2 linked regions of the Alligator mississippiensis genome follow. The protein of the gene in region 2 interacts with the protein of the main gene of each other region in a pairwise test. Links are inferred from orthologs where the notes say so. Each region holds a gene or a part of one and is shown on either strand. Other genes may lie near its edges.

Region 1 (7,414 bases), on a different chromosome or scaffold from region 2:
CGTCCCTACAGGCATTTTGGTTGCCAGCTACACTGACAGAAAGCCACACTTTAGTGGCAATTTTCCCTAAGAAACCTTTTCCTACAATGCCCTTCCATCCAGAAATGTCTTTTCAGACAATAGGAGCCGGGTGCTCAGAGCACACGCAAGATCTGGACCCTCCGGTCACAATACTTCTGATTTTTCTGGGTTGGAGCGAGACCTTTAGCACTATTATGTGTCGTGCTTCCTTCCACTTAATATATCAAGCTGCTGTTTGAAGAAACTCGTAGCCAGGGTAACGTTTCATGGTTACTTTAACAGCAAGATTGCATCCAACAGCAAAGGAGCAATATATTCAGCAGCAGTTTAAAAAAAAAAAAATCACTCCTTACCGACAGAGAAGCTGCACTTGCTGGTATGTGGCTGCTGGGAGCATGTCTGTAACCTCGGTGGAGGGGGATCCCTGCAGATGCCGGTACGCCCCTGCAGCTGGGCTGATTGATGGCAAAGCCCATGGGGAATGGGTGGTACGGGTACATACCCGAATACCCCGGGTACACTTTCGGAGGCTCTCGCTCGAGGAATTCTGGGCTAACCAGGCACTCTGGAGGCAGAGCAGGGTAGGCTGTGAAACAACCAGGAAGGAAAAGTCAAAATAAACACACCAAAAACATCACAATAAATCCAAATACTAAATAAAGACTGACGGTGCCCGATTCTATTCTTAGCCAGTGTAACGGTGCACCGAGCCTGGCCCGTTGGTTTTACATGCAGCTGCTAATCATTTTGGATGTTTTTTTAGACACTTACTACTGGGAAATTAGAAAGGCTGAAAATAAGGAGGTGAAGCAGGTAACAAAGAAAGAGTAAATGGATTCTCTTCTGCCACGCGCATCTGGAAGCAAACTGCCAGCAAACTCCTGCCTGCAGCACCTCCACCTGGAAGTGCTGCTGTAACAAGCATGAAGACAGCTCGATTTCCAGTGGCAGCAGCTGAAATATCATCCCCTTGAAGACTTGCACACCAACAACACTAATTACTTAAGCCAATGCAGGGGAACGAAGCGCCTGATGCTATCTGTCATTGTTATAGGGTTAATTTTTAGAGAGTCAGTTCCCTTTTATTATCATTTAAAACAGACCCCTCACAAGTGATCTTTCTGAGACAGGTGGAGACTCATTTACAGCGAGGCTGCCTGCAGCTTAGCCCCATCCGTACAAATTGCTCCTAGAGATTCACTAGTCTGGTGAGGCTCATGCAAATTAAAATAAAAGAAGAAAGAAACATTCACTGGCAGATCAGCTGATACTGTTAACCTCCCTTTCCTCTGGATCTGCCAAAGCATATGGTCTATCTTTGTCTGTCTTCTTGATTGCTTTTGTCTGAGGGCCCAGCCAACTCCTAGTCTGGGGTTTCAATAAGGAATGAGACTAACCCAGCAGTTCTCAACCTTCGTCGACTCAAGGCACCCCTCAGAAAAAGCCCGCTCTTAGCTTTTAATGCTTTCTCGCCTACAGAAAAACAGCAGAGCATTTCTTCCATTGCAACCAACTCAGAAAGACCACAGCAAGTCAGAAAGGTTTTAACACTACTGATTTTTATTTGCAAGCTCTGGGTCTAGTTGATGAATCGTGTGCGTGCACCTAATAGCGCTACCCTTGTGTGGCATCCCGTGGCACCCTTGAAAGGCTCCCAAGGCACCCCAGCGTGCTGTGACACCCTGCTTAGGAATCACATGCCCAAGACCAGATCGCCAGAAACAATCTGAGAGGCGACAGATGAAACCACCACGACATTTCATAGATTCACAGATTCATAGATGTTAGGGTCAGAAGGGACCTCAATAGATCATCGAGTCTGACCCCCTTCTGCACATAAATATGAAATAAACTTTACACCAAATTATTCCAGCTGAGCCTAGCCCTTATTGCAGCAACCAAGCCCAGATGCCTCCCACTGAGCTTCCCAATTCATTTGCAAGTGCTGGGCTGGGGGGCATATGGCTTTGTGCTGGACAGGATGCGTGCATATTTAAAGTCAGTAACAGCTCAGAAGAGCAATCAAAAGGTGCTGTCCTGGATACTGAGGGCTGTGCTCCCCCCACCCCACTGCCTCCTTTCCCTCCTAAACAGGGAACACAGGCCTGAATTCAGCTTTGAAACAATGAAACGACCACAGGAGCTGCCTGGGATTGTTCCTGCAGCTACAAAGTTCAGGGATGCAGCTCAGAAACTGCAAAACCAAGGTTTTGCACCAAGCACATCCCAAGTGGGGAACAGCTCAGGGCGCACTGGGCCATGGGAGGCCAGGTTGACTTCTGTTTCCCTAGACAGGTGGAAAAGGTAGCTGGACAGATGCTGATCAGACAGCCACCACGGAGAGATGTACAGACAGATGCTGAGTGACGCACAGACAGACAAAAGGAAATGGAGATGGACAGGCAGAAGCGAGCCATCTACAGTAGAGGCTAACAGGACAGATACCCCAGTGCTGTGCTGGTCCCTACCGAAGTCCCCAAAGGGCTGGGAGCCAGGAGCGTCTAGGGCCCTGCGGGTCACCATTCTGCTGCTGCTGCTGCCTGGTCCTGGGACAGCCTTGGCTCCCTCGTGCCCGACCGCGTGGCTGCTCCGATCAGAGGCGCTGGAGCTGACAGCAGGCGTCCCCCGTCCTTCGCCGTGGCCTGGGGTGCAGGGTGCAGGTAGCGACACCACCCCGGGCAGGGGATCTGGGCCCTGCCTCCGCAACGCCTTCTGGGCTGCCATGATCTTCTGACGCTCCGTGATGAGCGCGCATTTCTCGCAAGGGCACAGCTTCCAGCGGCAGTGGCCCGCGTGGCCTTTCACCGGCACCACGAAGCCGTGGTTTCGGCAGCGGGAGCACTTTGGGGTTCGCAGAGCTGCCTTCTCAGCTGCCAGCGCATCCTCGGCCTCCATGGCACTTCCAGCCAGGCAGGCACCTGACAGCCAGGCGCAGCCAGAGCTGGGAGCTGATGTACAAGGCAGGTTGGGACAGCTCTCTCTTGTACCCACAGCTATACAATGTAGCAAGTGAGGCTGCTAGGCCTTGTGCATGGGGAAAGGAGGAGCTCATTTGAGTCCAGCAACTCTGTGCTTGGGGGGCTAGGGAGGATTGTCAGCAGGAGCAGGAGGAGCAATGCTGCAAGGGCTTGCAAGAGACAGCCTTGCTCTGGAGCAAGGAAATCCTGCACATTTGTATGGTGGCTGGGCCAGCGCTACTCCAAAGGCCCTGATCTACTCTCAGACAGAGCCCTCCACTTTCCAAGAGCTGGGTGGGGAGTGGTGGGCAATGCTCTTGCTGGGGGCTGCACAAGGCACTTGTCAAATATTGTCCCTTTCCCATGCAGTTGCATGATCATAAAAGAAAAGGCTGCATGGCTTTGACCAGAAAGTAGACACAGCCAAGTCTGCAAAAACATGGCCTCTAACCCTTTCTGTGCCCGTGCCCTGCGTTTGCATGCGTAGATCGAGTAGAAGCGCACCTGATTTACACCTTTTTCTTCATGCAAGCAGAGCCTTTTTATGCTGCATCTAAGCTGCACTCTCCTGCTTTGGTCATCTACTGCCCATGGCTTCTATCATCCTTTGTAAGAAATTGCACTACCTTGAATGATTTCAGTTCCACTTTGTTTCAAATTTCAACTTTTATTGGGTAAGGGGATTGTCACCGTGTCAGCTTCTTTATTCAGTTCTTCCAAATGTTCAACCAAACCCCACGTTTACAGTCAGGCCAGAAGGCACACCTCATTCCTCTAAGTAGCTCTCTTTCCCCAAATCCTTTATACACTGGAAGCAAGCGTAGGTTTAAAATGGAAAAGGTGCCAATGCACCTGTTTCCATATTTCTTATAAAATGCCCTGTGTCATTTGTTACTGTTAGCAGTTACAAACCCACATCTTATACAGTAGCTCATCAACAGGCACATCTGAGCACCAAGCAGTGTAAGGAATGATACTGCAGATTTTCTTCCCCTCCCAAAGATAAGGGGTAATTTGGGTTTGTCGGTACCACCTCCCCAGGGCTCTTGAGAAAGCTGATAAGAAGCTCCTTCCATCCACTCAACCCTGCTCTGGATGCATTCAACTCAAAAACAAGGTGGTGGAGCTTCAAAATCTGGGAAACAAAACCCTTGGCATGACTTTACTACCTGATTTCTGGGTTTGCTGCTGAAGGAGTGCTCTCAAGAGCCCTAGGGAGGCTCTAGATCAGGGTCAGGCAATTATTTTGGGCAGAGGGCTGCTTATTGAGTTTTGGCAAGCCATCGAGGGCCACATGACAGGCAGCCCAGGGCAGATAAATATTAATTTTCTAAATTTTTTAGGGGCCTCGCAGGCCGGATAGAATGACCCAGCAGGCCGCATCCAGCTCCTGGGCCGCATTTTGCCCACCCCTGCTCTAGAGACAGGTCCCATGATTTTGGCCTTCGGACTGACCTGAAGCCTGTAATTTCGCCCTGTGAAAAGAAACCTGTTCAGAATGAAACAATCTTTAACTGCAAAACAGTTGGCTAATTTTTCATCCATTTCCAGGGAAACAAGGGACAAGCTGAAGTACTTATCTCAGCTGTTTCAAGAGTACATTAATGATGAACTGGCCTTGCTTTAAAGTCATGTTGAAAAATCCCCTCCAGTGGAGGAGGCCCTCTGCATAGTGTAGGTCATAAGGGGTCAGATCTTAATCAAAACTGTTGACTTGAAACTCAGCTACTTAGGACAAGATTTTGGAAAATTCCCGTGTAACTTTGGAGTGTGAGTACCATTGGCTTTCGGGGGCGCTCGACTTCCAAAGGTAATCGCTTCGACCCAAGTCCCATGTTCAAATCCTCAAAGTATCCTAACTCTCATTGATTCCAGCCCTATTCAATTTTTATTTTAGGTGCCCAAAAGCCTTTGAAAATCTCACCTCACCAAAGTCACTTAGTCACTTTTGAAAGTTATTATCCGTAGGCCTCAAGGCAGGAAAGTACCTGACACAAGTGGTTGACTTGAGTTCAGTTAGACTTAAAGCTCACAATGTCCTGAATTGCTGCTATTTTGACTCAGGGCCTTAGAGAGATGGAGAATACTTCTTCAGCCACTCTAAAAACTAACTATACTCTCTATTAAATGTAAGTTGTTGGCAGATTCCAAATGACATCTCCCAATGTCATTGCTAGATGTAGCATGCACTTGCACATTTATCTGTAAAATTAAATCAGATAAACAACATCCTTCTAGGTAAAGGTTGTTATATCTTCCCTGAGATGCCTAATCCATTCATATTCCATCAGACACAGGGTAGGTGAGTTATATGCATTTGTTATAGTAAATTTTGTCCCAGAGCCACATCATATTAATATTGAGGACCTTTAAGCAAGCATATATTGTTTTTTATTCTTGTCTCTCAGGACCAAAACAGCAACTGTGGACACTGATAGTTTCTGCATAAATGATCCCTACTTTTGAAAGGTACCTGCATTTGGTTGTGAACATTTGTCATCGTAGCATGCAGGAATTATTATACCTTCCATATCATTTGTCTCTAACTTGTCTAGACTGGCTTTCTTTAAAGACATGAGTTTTTATTTCACTAGTAAGATGAATACTTTTGCAGGCAGTTTGAGAAGTGCTGCTATTCCCAGTCTGCTGTTCTTTTATATATAAATTTTAGTTAGCTGCCCTATCGCACAGCATTAAGATTGCTCAGCAGAGCAGATGTGCACAATTTATCAAAAGAAATCTTGATTCCCTGTGAATAAAGAAAGTTGTTCTGGCTTAAAGTCTATGACACCATTCCTTTGTCCACTTTTAAAGAACAATTAAATGCAATAAGGAATCTATTTTCTCCAGAATTGGTTTTTAAAATATCTTGGATGAAATATAGAAGAAGTATCGCATTATCTACATGCAGGTAGCATTTTGTAATAAAATAGTTTGCAAAATAGTTTGTCAGGTCAGGTTCACCCATCTCTGTAATTTACAGTAGCCTGCTAACTTCGGCTCTAGAACGTAGCCAAGGGAAGTCCAGCTTCTCCCTGTACGGGTGACCATACGTCCCAGTTTGGCCGGGACAGTCCCAGATTTCATAGGCCAGTCCAAGCCAGTTGGTGAAAATTCAAACAAAAGTCCTGGAATCGGCCACCTAGGCAGAGGCAGGTGGCACAGGGTGCAGGGCAGTGGAGCGGCATGGTGTGCCAGGTGGGCAGGCAGGCACCGGGAGCAAGGCAGGCAGACTGCAGTGATGCCCAGCCCAGCCCCTGCCTCCAGCCACTGCTCAAGTGGAGCCAGGCCAGGTATATGTGGGCAGGGCAGCACCTGCTCCGGTCAACATGCCTTGCTCCTGCATAGCAGCAGCGGTGCCCGCTCGCCCACTTGCCAGAAGCACCATGCTGTTCCACCTCCCTGCCAGACCGCACCCCACGCTCCTGCCCGCCTGCCTCTGTCTCTGCCTGCAGCAGTGCCACTGACTTGGAGGGGGAGAGGGGGTGTTCTTCCTTCATTTGAAACTCAGCGTCCTGGGTTTCCTTAAAAATAATACGGTCACCAAATGTACGGTCTGTACAACTAATGGTCATTTTGCTCTCTCCGAGACTTCAACACACTCTATTCTGTCTGGTCAGTTTATTTTGAACATCAGGTCTTGGCATCTGCACGTCGAACTAGCTGTTCTAATTAGGCTGTCGGTCTTTACTGTATGTCATTTATTAGCGTGTTTGGGATAGAAAGAGATCACCAGCAAAGTCCCAGCTTCCAAGTGCTCCATTTAGCCATGCAGTTGAGGTGGACACCCACCAGAGACCTGTCACAGAGCCACCCATTCAGACTGAACAACCAGCCCTTTTCCCTAGTCTGGCAGGGAGGTGACTTTACCCTCCCAGGCCTTGGTGGGTATTTTTACACAGCTGCATTCAGTGAAACACTGACTTTTATTGTGACAATTTCATAATATCAACCAAAATTCAAAAATTGTTCAAAAGGCCTTTCTAACCCCAACTCATCCCTGTCTCATTGCTTCCTTATACTCCTGCTCATCTGTGTTCATCTGTTGCTGCTTGGGCCGTGTCTACATGAGATGCTGACTGCGTGGTTGTTACTCCCCGCAGGTGGCAGTGCTGGGGTGGAGACAGGGGTCTTGGCTGGCCCGAGACCCAGGATTTTGTTTGCCTAGGGGCCACTAAAGGGTTAATCTGGCCCTGGTCCCCAAACAGCTTTTTGGTGATGCTGACTGCACAGTATCTCATTACTACTGCGCAGTAGCATCACATCACGCTTCATGCCACACAGCATTACTTCACAGTAGTAACGAGCTGCTGTACTGCACAGTAGTGATGAGCTACTGCACAGTCAGTGTCTCGTGTAGACGCAGCCATGGCCTACCTGAGCCTACAAGGTCCATTCCCATAGTGCGGGAACCATGGCTAGCACCCCAAATCCCG
Region 2 (6,900 bases):
CTAGAACTCTGTGGGATGTCATTCTATGTGAGGTATCCTATTCAGCTGAACCTCATGGATTCTAAATAGCATATGCCATAAAGAAAACTGGCTTTAAAAGCTTTGAGGTTTGATTGTAAAAGGGAAAAATGGGATTTTTTACTCTATAGAGCTTTGCAATAACCCTGCTCTCTGTACTAACAAACTACGTAATTCCTAAATTCTTTGTCCAAAAAAAAAAAAAAAAGTATTGTGCTCTTATTTCAAACCATGTACATATTTTCCCTTCTCACTAGATGAACTATACTTATTCAGTTTTAGGAATGATTTGGATCCTAAATTTTAAAAGTAAGATTGTATACTCAGTGATGATAAAAGGAAGTAAAATCAACCAAGTAACTGAGTGCACTTTTTTTTTGTTTTTTTTTTTTACTGCCTTATACATACATCTGTGTTGGCTAAGCCCCCACCTCACTAATGACTAACAGGTGTGTTTTTGCAAAAGCTTTCAAAAATAAAAACCTCCTTTCTAAAAAATACTGTCCGGCACTAACAATACCAGGTCTTCACTGAAAATTTCAAATATTAATAGGCTGTTCTATATTAGCATTTATATTCACTTCAAAACTGTTCTTCTGGTAAGTTTGGTAATACCAAATAAAAATCCAGCTTTTAAAACCAGAATACTGTGTATGACCACCCATTATTTGGCCAACCCAGTGAAGACTAAAGACAAATCAGCTTTATGATACTAAAAGATTACAACACACACACTCATGACATTATTACAAATAAAATTTTTACTGGCGTATGCGTAATTGAAATGTCTCTGATACAACAATCACCTCTGCATTCATAAACGCCTCATAGTATTCTGAACACACACTGCTATAATGAGACTGTCTTCAATTTTGCTTGTTAAAAGGACCTTTAAAGAATGCTAAAGCAGGTCATCACCTTTATGTGAAGAAAACAGTAACAAAAATATTCTGTCGCTGGATATACTGTCTGTCATGTATTTTATTCACTGTCCTTAAATAAACTAAGCTCTAAATATCTGCAATAACCACACTTTTATACCTACTGGTAAACTGCCCCTTTTCGAGAAATAAGTGGTCACTAAAACTAATCGGCAGTAGACATCCTTTATTCTACTGAAAGGTAATTAACCATTACCAAAAATATATGATTAGCAGGTATACAATATCAATCAATGCATTACAGAACTGTAAATGCTTATTTCTTTTGTTTGGTCACGTTATACTTGATCAAGTGTGAATGATTAAAGTGGTTTAATTGGGGCTACATGCATTCATTGGTGGCATGCACCTTCAATGGCAATTATAAGCACATTTGAAAGAAGTGACTTTTCCTGTATTACTTTGAAATCTTCATCTCCTTACACTTTCCTCCTTTACATAATAAAGAGAACACCTCAGCATCAGGCAGGGTATCAAACATTAAGCCACAGCCAGGGTTTACCTTAGGAGTGCAATCTTGATTGAAAGACAAAAGACTACTCCACACGCAGTTAGTTCTTGTTAAAAGAATAAGCTCTTTCAGACCAAATTATACCGCGTAACGAGCTTTAAACCAACACGCTTTAGCGCTGCCACTCTGAAAATGCTCAGAGAAACGTAATTTTGCTTTTGTTGGTGTGATGGGAACAAATACGAAAGTCCAGAGCATGCAAGTAACAATTCTGCATCCTGCAAGGGGGTGGGCAAAACAATAATAGCTGGAAGAGTATTTTACAGCACAGAGATGCGAATCAATGAAGGGAGAGATTTAGTTGCAGCCACCACACACGAGGGGGGGGAAGAAAAATACCCCCCCAAACCAGGAGTTAAGGTGATTCCACCAGCAGGTAAATCTTCCTGTGCAGCGGGACAAGGGGGATTGCTCTCTTGGAAATCAGCAGTGGAAAACAGCCGCTCAACTTTGCTAAACACGGGCTTAGTGAAAAAGCACTAGATTTCTCTTCCAACACAGCCTGGAGGAGATGCCTGGGGAGGGTGCGGGGTGCTGTCACACACAAATCTCTACTGTAGCCAGAGGAGTTGCTAAGTGACTGGCTGCATCTTCATTTTTTTTTTTTTTTTTTTTTGCAGGGCCTGTGTATCCATGAGGGGCGACTCGTGGCCCTGGGCTGCATTTCCAGCCCCCCTCCCTCAGCACTGCGAAGGGGGAGGGCGGCCGGCACGGCCTGCACCGCGGAGCTGCCAGCGCCTGCCTTCCCGGACACGCCTGCCCTGGGAGGGAGCCTCCCCCTGGCCGCTCGGCCAGCGCCGCCGGCCCCTCCGCGCCCAGCGCTGAGGAATAATGCGAGCACAACAACTCTGCCCATTGTTCGCGCCAGGACGGCTCCCAACTTTCCCATTGTTGCTGCAAGTGCGGCGGGAAGTGCCGCGGACGGGAGCAAACCCCGGGGCGAGGGAGGGAAGATGGGATGGGATGGGAAGGAGAGAAGCCGCCCCTTCCCCTTCGCCTTCCCCCTGCCTCCTCCCGGCCGAGACTTTGGCAGCCCGCGCTAATCCTCCGGCAGATGCTGCCCCTCGCCCAGCCAACAATGCGCGCCCGGCACAACAAAAGGCTCCCGCTCCCCTCGGCCCGGGGGCAGCTGCAAACTTCTCCCGCCTCCCGCCGAACAAAAAGCCAAGGGGGAGGCGGCCAAAGATGTCCTCGGATTATTTGTGGCCCCCCCCGCAACCCCGGCCCCCCAAGCCCCGCAGCCGCAGCGCCGCAGCCGCAGCCCTACCTCGTGCTCGGATCCGCGGGCAGCGCCGGCCCCGCGCTCAGCGCTGCATCGCCCCGCGGGGCTCCGGCTGCCGGAGATCCACCTTAAAATGACACACACGCACCGCACAAAAACTTAATCCCCCCCTTTGCCTCCTCCTCCGCCTCCGCCTCCTCCCGCCCCGGGGAAGGCGCTGGGCGGGCGGCAGGAGGAGGATGCTGCCGCTGCCAATTGCAACTTGGAGCTGCAGGGTGGGGGAGAAAACGAGCGGGGGGCAGCGCTCGCCTCGCCTCGCCTCTCCTCTCCTCTCCTCCCCGCTCGCTCCCTTCTTCTTCTTCTTCTTCTTCTCCTTTTTTTTTTTTTTTTTTTTGGCAAGAGGCGGGGTCTCCTCCTTGCAAACCAATGACACAAACCCACATGCACCGGCCTCGCCCCCTACAGATACTCCTCACTACAAATAGGCTCTCTCCGGGGATTAGTGGATCAGCTAAAGTACAAACAGACGCAGCAAGGAAGAAAGAGGAGGGGAGGAAGGAGGAAGGGAGAGGAAGGGGGCTCCCCTGCCCTCCCACCTCCGCCACTGGCACATCAAGTTGGAAACTGCAAGGGAGTGGGCGATGCCGCCCTCCCCACGCCCCTGGTGTGCCCGCTCCCCTGCCCTGGCCCTTTGCGGCCTGCAGCGGACATGGCCAGGCTCTTCATCCCTGGGAGACCGAGGGCCTGGCAGGCAGCCCCCTGGAGCAGAAGCCTCTGCGCTCCCTGCAAAGGGGGATTCGGGGGCACGTTCAGCTGCATTCGGTTATTGCTTCTTGGCCTCTTGAAGGCTCAGATCAAGCATAGCAGTTGCTTAACCTGGCAGGGGAAATAATACTCTGTGTGTGTGTGTGTGTCCAAGAAGGCAGTTTTCCTGAACCCCCTGGCAGCAGAGCTGCTCTCCTGGCATGGTTCGGTACCAGTTTATGGAGATGGGAGTCTCCTCCCTTACTTGTTCCTAGGGCAAGCAAAAGTCAGGGGCATCCGAACCCCAAGCCTGCAAGTAGGATGCCTGCCAAAGGTTTCGGAAACATCTAAAACCCCAGGTGCGGGTGGAGGATGTTTGCAGGTAGCAGTGCCACTTATGGTTTTGGATTTGGAATTAGTTTTGGCTAATTTGGCCTCAGATGCAAATTATATTAAAAAAAATTGACTTTGACCAATTGTAGCCACTCCACTGAGGCATAAGTGTGGCCTGGCACTGGGCCACTGTGGTGGGATACTGGGGTGCTGAGGCAGCCCATGTGTGTTGGTTGCATGCACCTCAGCAGTGACCCCAGGGAAGCTGGTGAAGGGTGCAAGGCCTAAGACACAGCAGGAGCACCACAACCAGGTGTGCATTGTCACAACAGCCGTGCAGGACTCACCACTGGTTTTGTCAGCATCGCAGTGAAATATGTGCCTGACGGTACATGAAGCTGTAACGGGCTTCTCATGCTTGTTTTAAGATATTAGTCTGCAAAATACACGTAAGGTTTTCCGTAATGAGCACTGCAGCCAGCACTGCTCAGGTCTAGGCCATGCGCGTGAAGTCCATGTTACCCCTGGAAACCCCTCAGAGTCATCAATGTTTCTTTCCACCTAAGATCATTTGAGTGTGTCACACATTTGTTGCTCCATACAGAGCAGATGTAATTTGAAATTGATGGGGGGGCACTTAGGATAAAGGCCACCAGACATGCTGAGCCCCTTCTGTTGACATCTTAAATAGAAAGGGGTTGGCGCATGCACGCCCACTGAGCACCAAATTTGATATGAATATCATATAATCACGTTGTGGTTTTTGGCTGAATGGGAGATAACAAAAACACTCAAACAGGCATTTAGTTGTATTCTGCGTTACACCTTATATTTTGGGGAATTAAGGTTTTGACAGACATTCATCATTTGCTTATCACAAGGATGTGGGCAGGTGGTGATCTTATCTTTTTGTTATATAACTGCTGGGCTTTCCATATCATATGTAATCCAATCATATAGAATTTCAATCCTAGTGGAAAAAACAGATTCCTTTTCTAGTCAAATAAAAACCTTGAACCAGACCATTTATCCATCGAAATTCATAAGGATACTTTGATTTTCATCTCAGGAATTACAAGGTAAACGTATAAAATGCTTCTCATCAGTAAACTGTAGGTTCTTTTTAGGTTTCAACATCGTACCCATTACCAGGATTCAAACCACCTGATGCTGAGAACCAAGACCTCATTCCTGCGACCACTTGAATGTGTTACTAACCCTAGTTCAGCAGAATTACCCATGGTGTTAAGCATTTGGAGGGTCAAGGTCCATGTTTGTATGCAAATGACAGTTTACTCACTTGGGAGTAGTAGTTTATTTACAGCTTTCACAAAAATGCTACAAGGAATCTCATAGGTATATTTGCACTATTTTTACAAAGAATAATAACTAAAATCAAATACAATTCCCTGTTTCTAATTTTTTATTCCACTATTTTATATTGCATAATTTTATTTCTTTTATGTATCATCATATATCATGTTCAGTTTTACTTGTGTTTAAATTAGTAGGAAGTATGATTTTATTGCATGCTTTTACCAATTGCAACAAATCGTGTAATTTTATTATTATATCATTTTGTTGTTAATTCTATTGTTATTTTAGTGAAAGCTGGAAATAAACTACTGCTGTTGGCAGTTATGAAAAGAATTGGGAAATCATGCCATGAGCCAAAGATTCAAAATTACACTGGCTCCAACTACATGCCTCAGGACAGATTTTAGCAAAATACAACTTCTGACCCAGTTCCCTGCCTTAGACGTTTTGCTCTGGGAAAGTTCCATGAAGAGAAAGCTCTAGCACTCTAGAACAGTATTTTATAGTGACCATCAAATACATCTCAGGTCTTTTCACTGTTAATAATTCTGCTGGCAATCAAAAATATTAAGGGTAGATCATCAGCTAGCGTAAACTGTCCCACAATGGTGCTATGACAGCTTACACCAGCTGAGCATCTGCCTGCTGTATTTTAACAATTTTTTTTCAACCATACTCACCATCTTGTTTTGCTTTCTCTCACTGCTAATTCATGTGTGTTTGTATTCGTTTGCACAAAACCATCCATGCAATCTATGGTGCTGCAGGAATCAACAATAATATAATTCAGAATAAATAATGTTGAGTTTATGAAATAAATGTGGTTGGTAACATATGCTGAGGTCATAAACACAAAATAGTTATTTCACTGGAAGAGCAATTAGATGCCAGGTTGTAAGAAAGAAAGCTCTTATGAAAACACGTATCTTCAAAATTAAGAAGGGAAATATGGGAAACATCAGGTGAAGTCAATTATTTTTTCCACAAATTACTTCTTGTTACTAGTACACATTTTTCAGATTTTCCAAATATGAAAGAATTTTGGGGAAAAAGATATCTGTCCAGATCCAAGAAGAGCTTTATGTTCCTGAAGTGGGATTTATGCAGAATTCAAATGCCTAAGTTCAAGCTGCAGTATTGAAGGCCCCTATTCTGGATGAGCCTAGATACTTGAGGTTTCTTATATTTTTACAGTAAAGTTTCCCAGCTCCCAAGAGTTTTGCATTTGTGCATGCCCAGAATTTCCCCATCTTGACATGACTTTACTGGTCAGCACTTAGCTCATGCCTCAACCTGAACAGAAACCCTGAACCTGAGCAGGCCACCGTCTAAAATTCCCGAGAGGCTCAACCCAGTAGGCATTCCTAGATTAAACCTAGCACATGGCAACAGGATCAGGCTTCTCAAAAAACAGTAGCTGGCTGTTCTGATATTTTATCTAAAAACCCATTTGATGTAAAATAATTGAAACTGGAAAAGTGCCCTAGCCCAGTGGTTCTCAGCCTTTTTAGACTCATGGCACCCCTCATCAAACACACGGCAGCCTTTGGAAAATATCAGTTTTTAGCTCATTGTTTGGAGCCTATGGAAAAATAATAGAGCAATTCTTCTGTTGCAAAGAACTCAGACCATAGCAGCTAAGAAATGCTTTTGACACAATGGATTCCTATTTGAAATCTCTGGGTTTATCTTGGGTATCATGTAGGTTCACACACCTAACAGTACTAACACTACCTGGCACACTGTGGCACCCTTTAAAGGCTTCAAAACATACCTGAAGGCACCTATACACATGCTCGATTAATTGAGTCTGC

What was found.
Region 1: the proteins of CTBP2 (region 2) and DMRTB1 interact in a two-hybrid assay, tested with the Homo sapiens proteins (2 studies listed by BioGRID). The two-hybrid records come from large-scale screens. The link is inferred for Alligator mississippiensis from reciprocal best matches to the Homo sapiens genes CTBP2 and DMRTB1.

The regions. Positions count from the first base shown.
Region 1 is NC_081828.1:10,117,485-10,124,898, reverse strand, and holds the start of DMRTB1 (doublesex- and mab-3-related transcription factor B1), read right to left. Parts: upstream 3,002-7,414; 5' UTR 2,917-3,001; coding exon 2,490-2,916; intron 608-2,489; coding exon 375-607; intron 1-374.
Region 2 is NC_081829.1:82,166,172-82,173,071, reverse strand, and holds the start of CTBP2 (C-terminal-binding protein 2), read right to left. Parts: upstream 3,019-6,900; 5' UTR 2,738-3,018; intron 1-2,737. UniProt on the Homo sapiens protein: Corepressor targeting diverse transcription regulators. Functions in brown adipose tissue (BAT) differentiation. Isoform 2 probably acts as a scaffold for specialized synapses.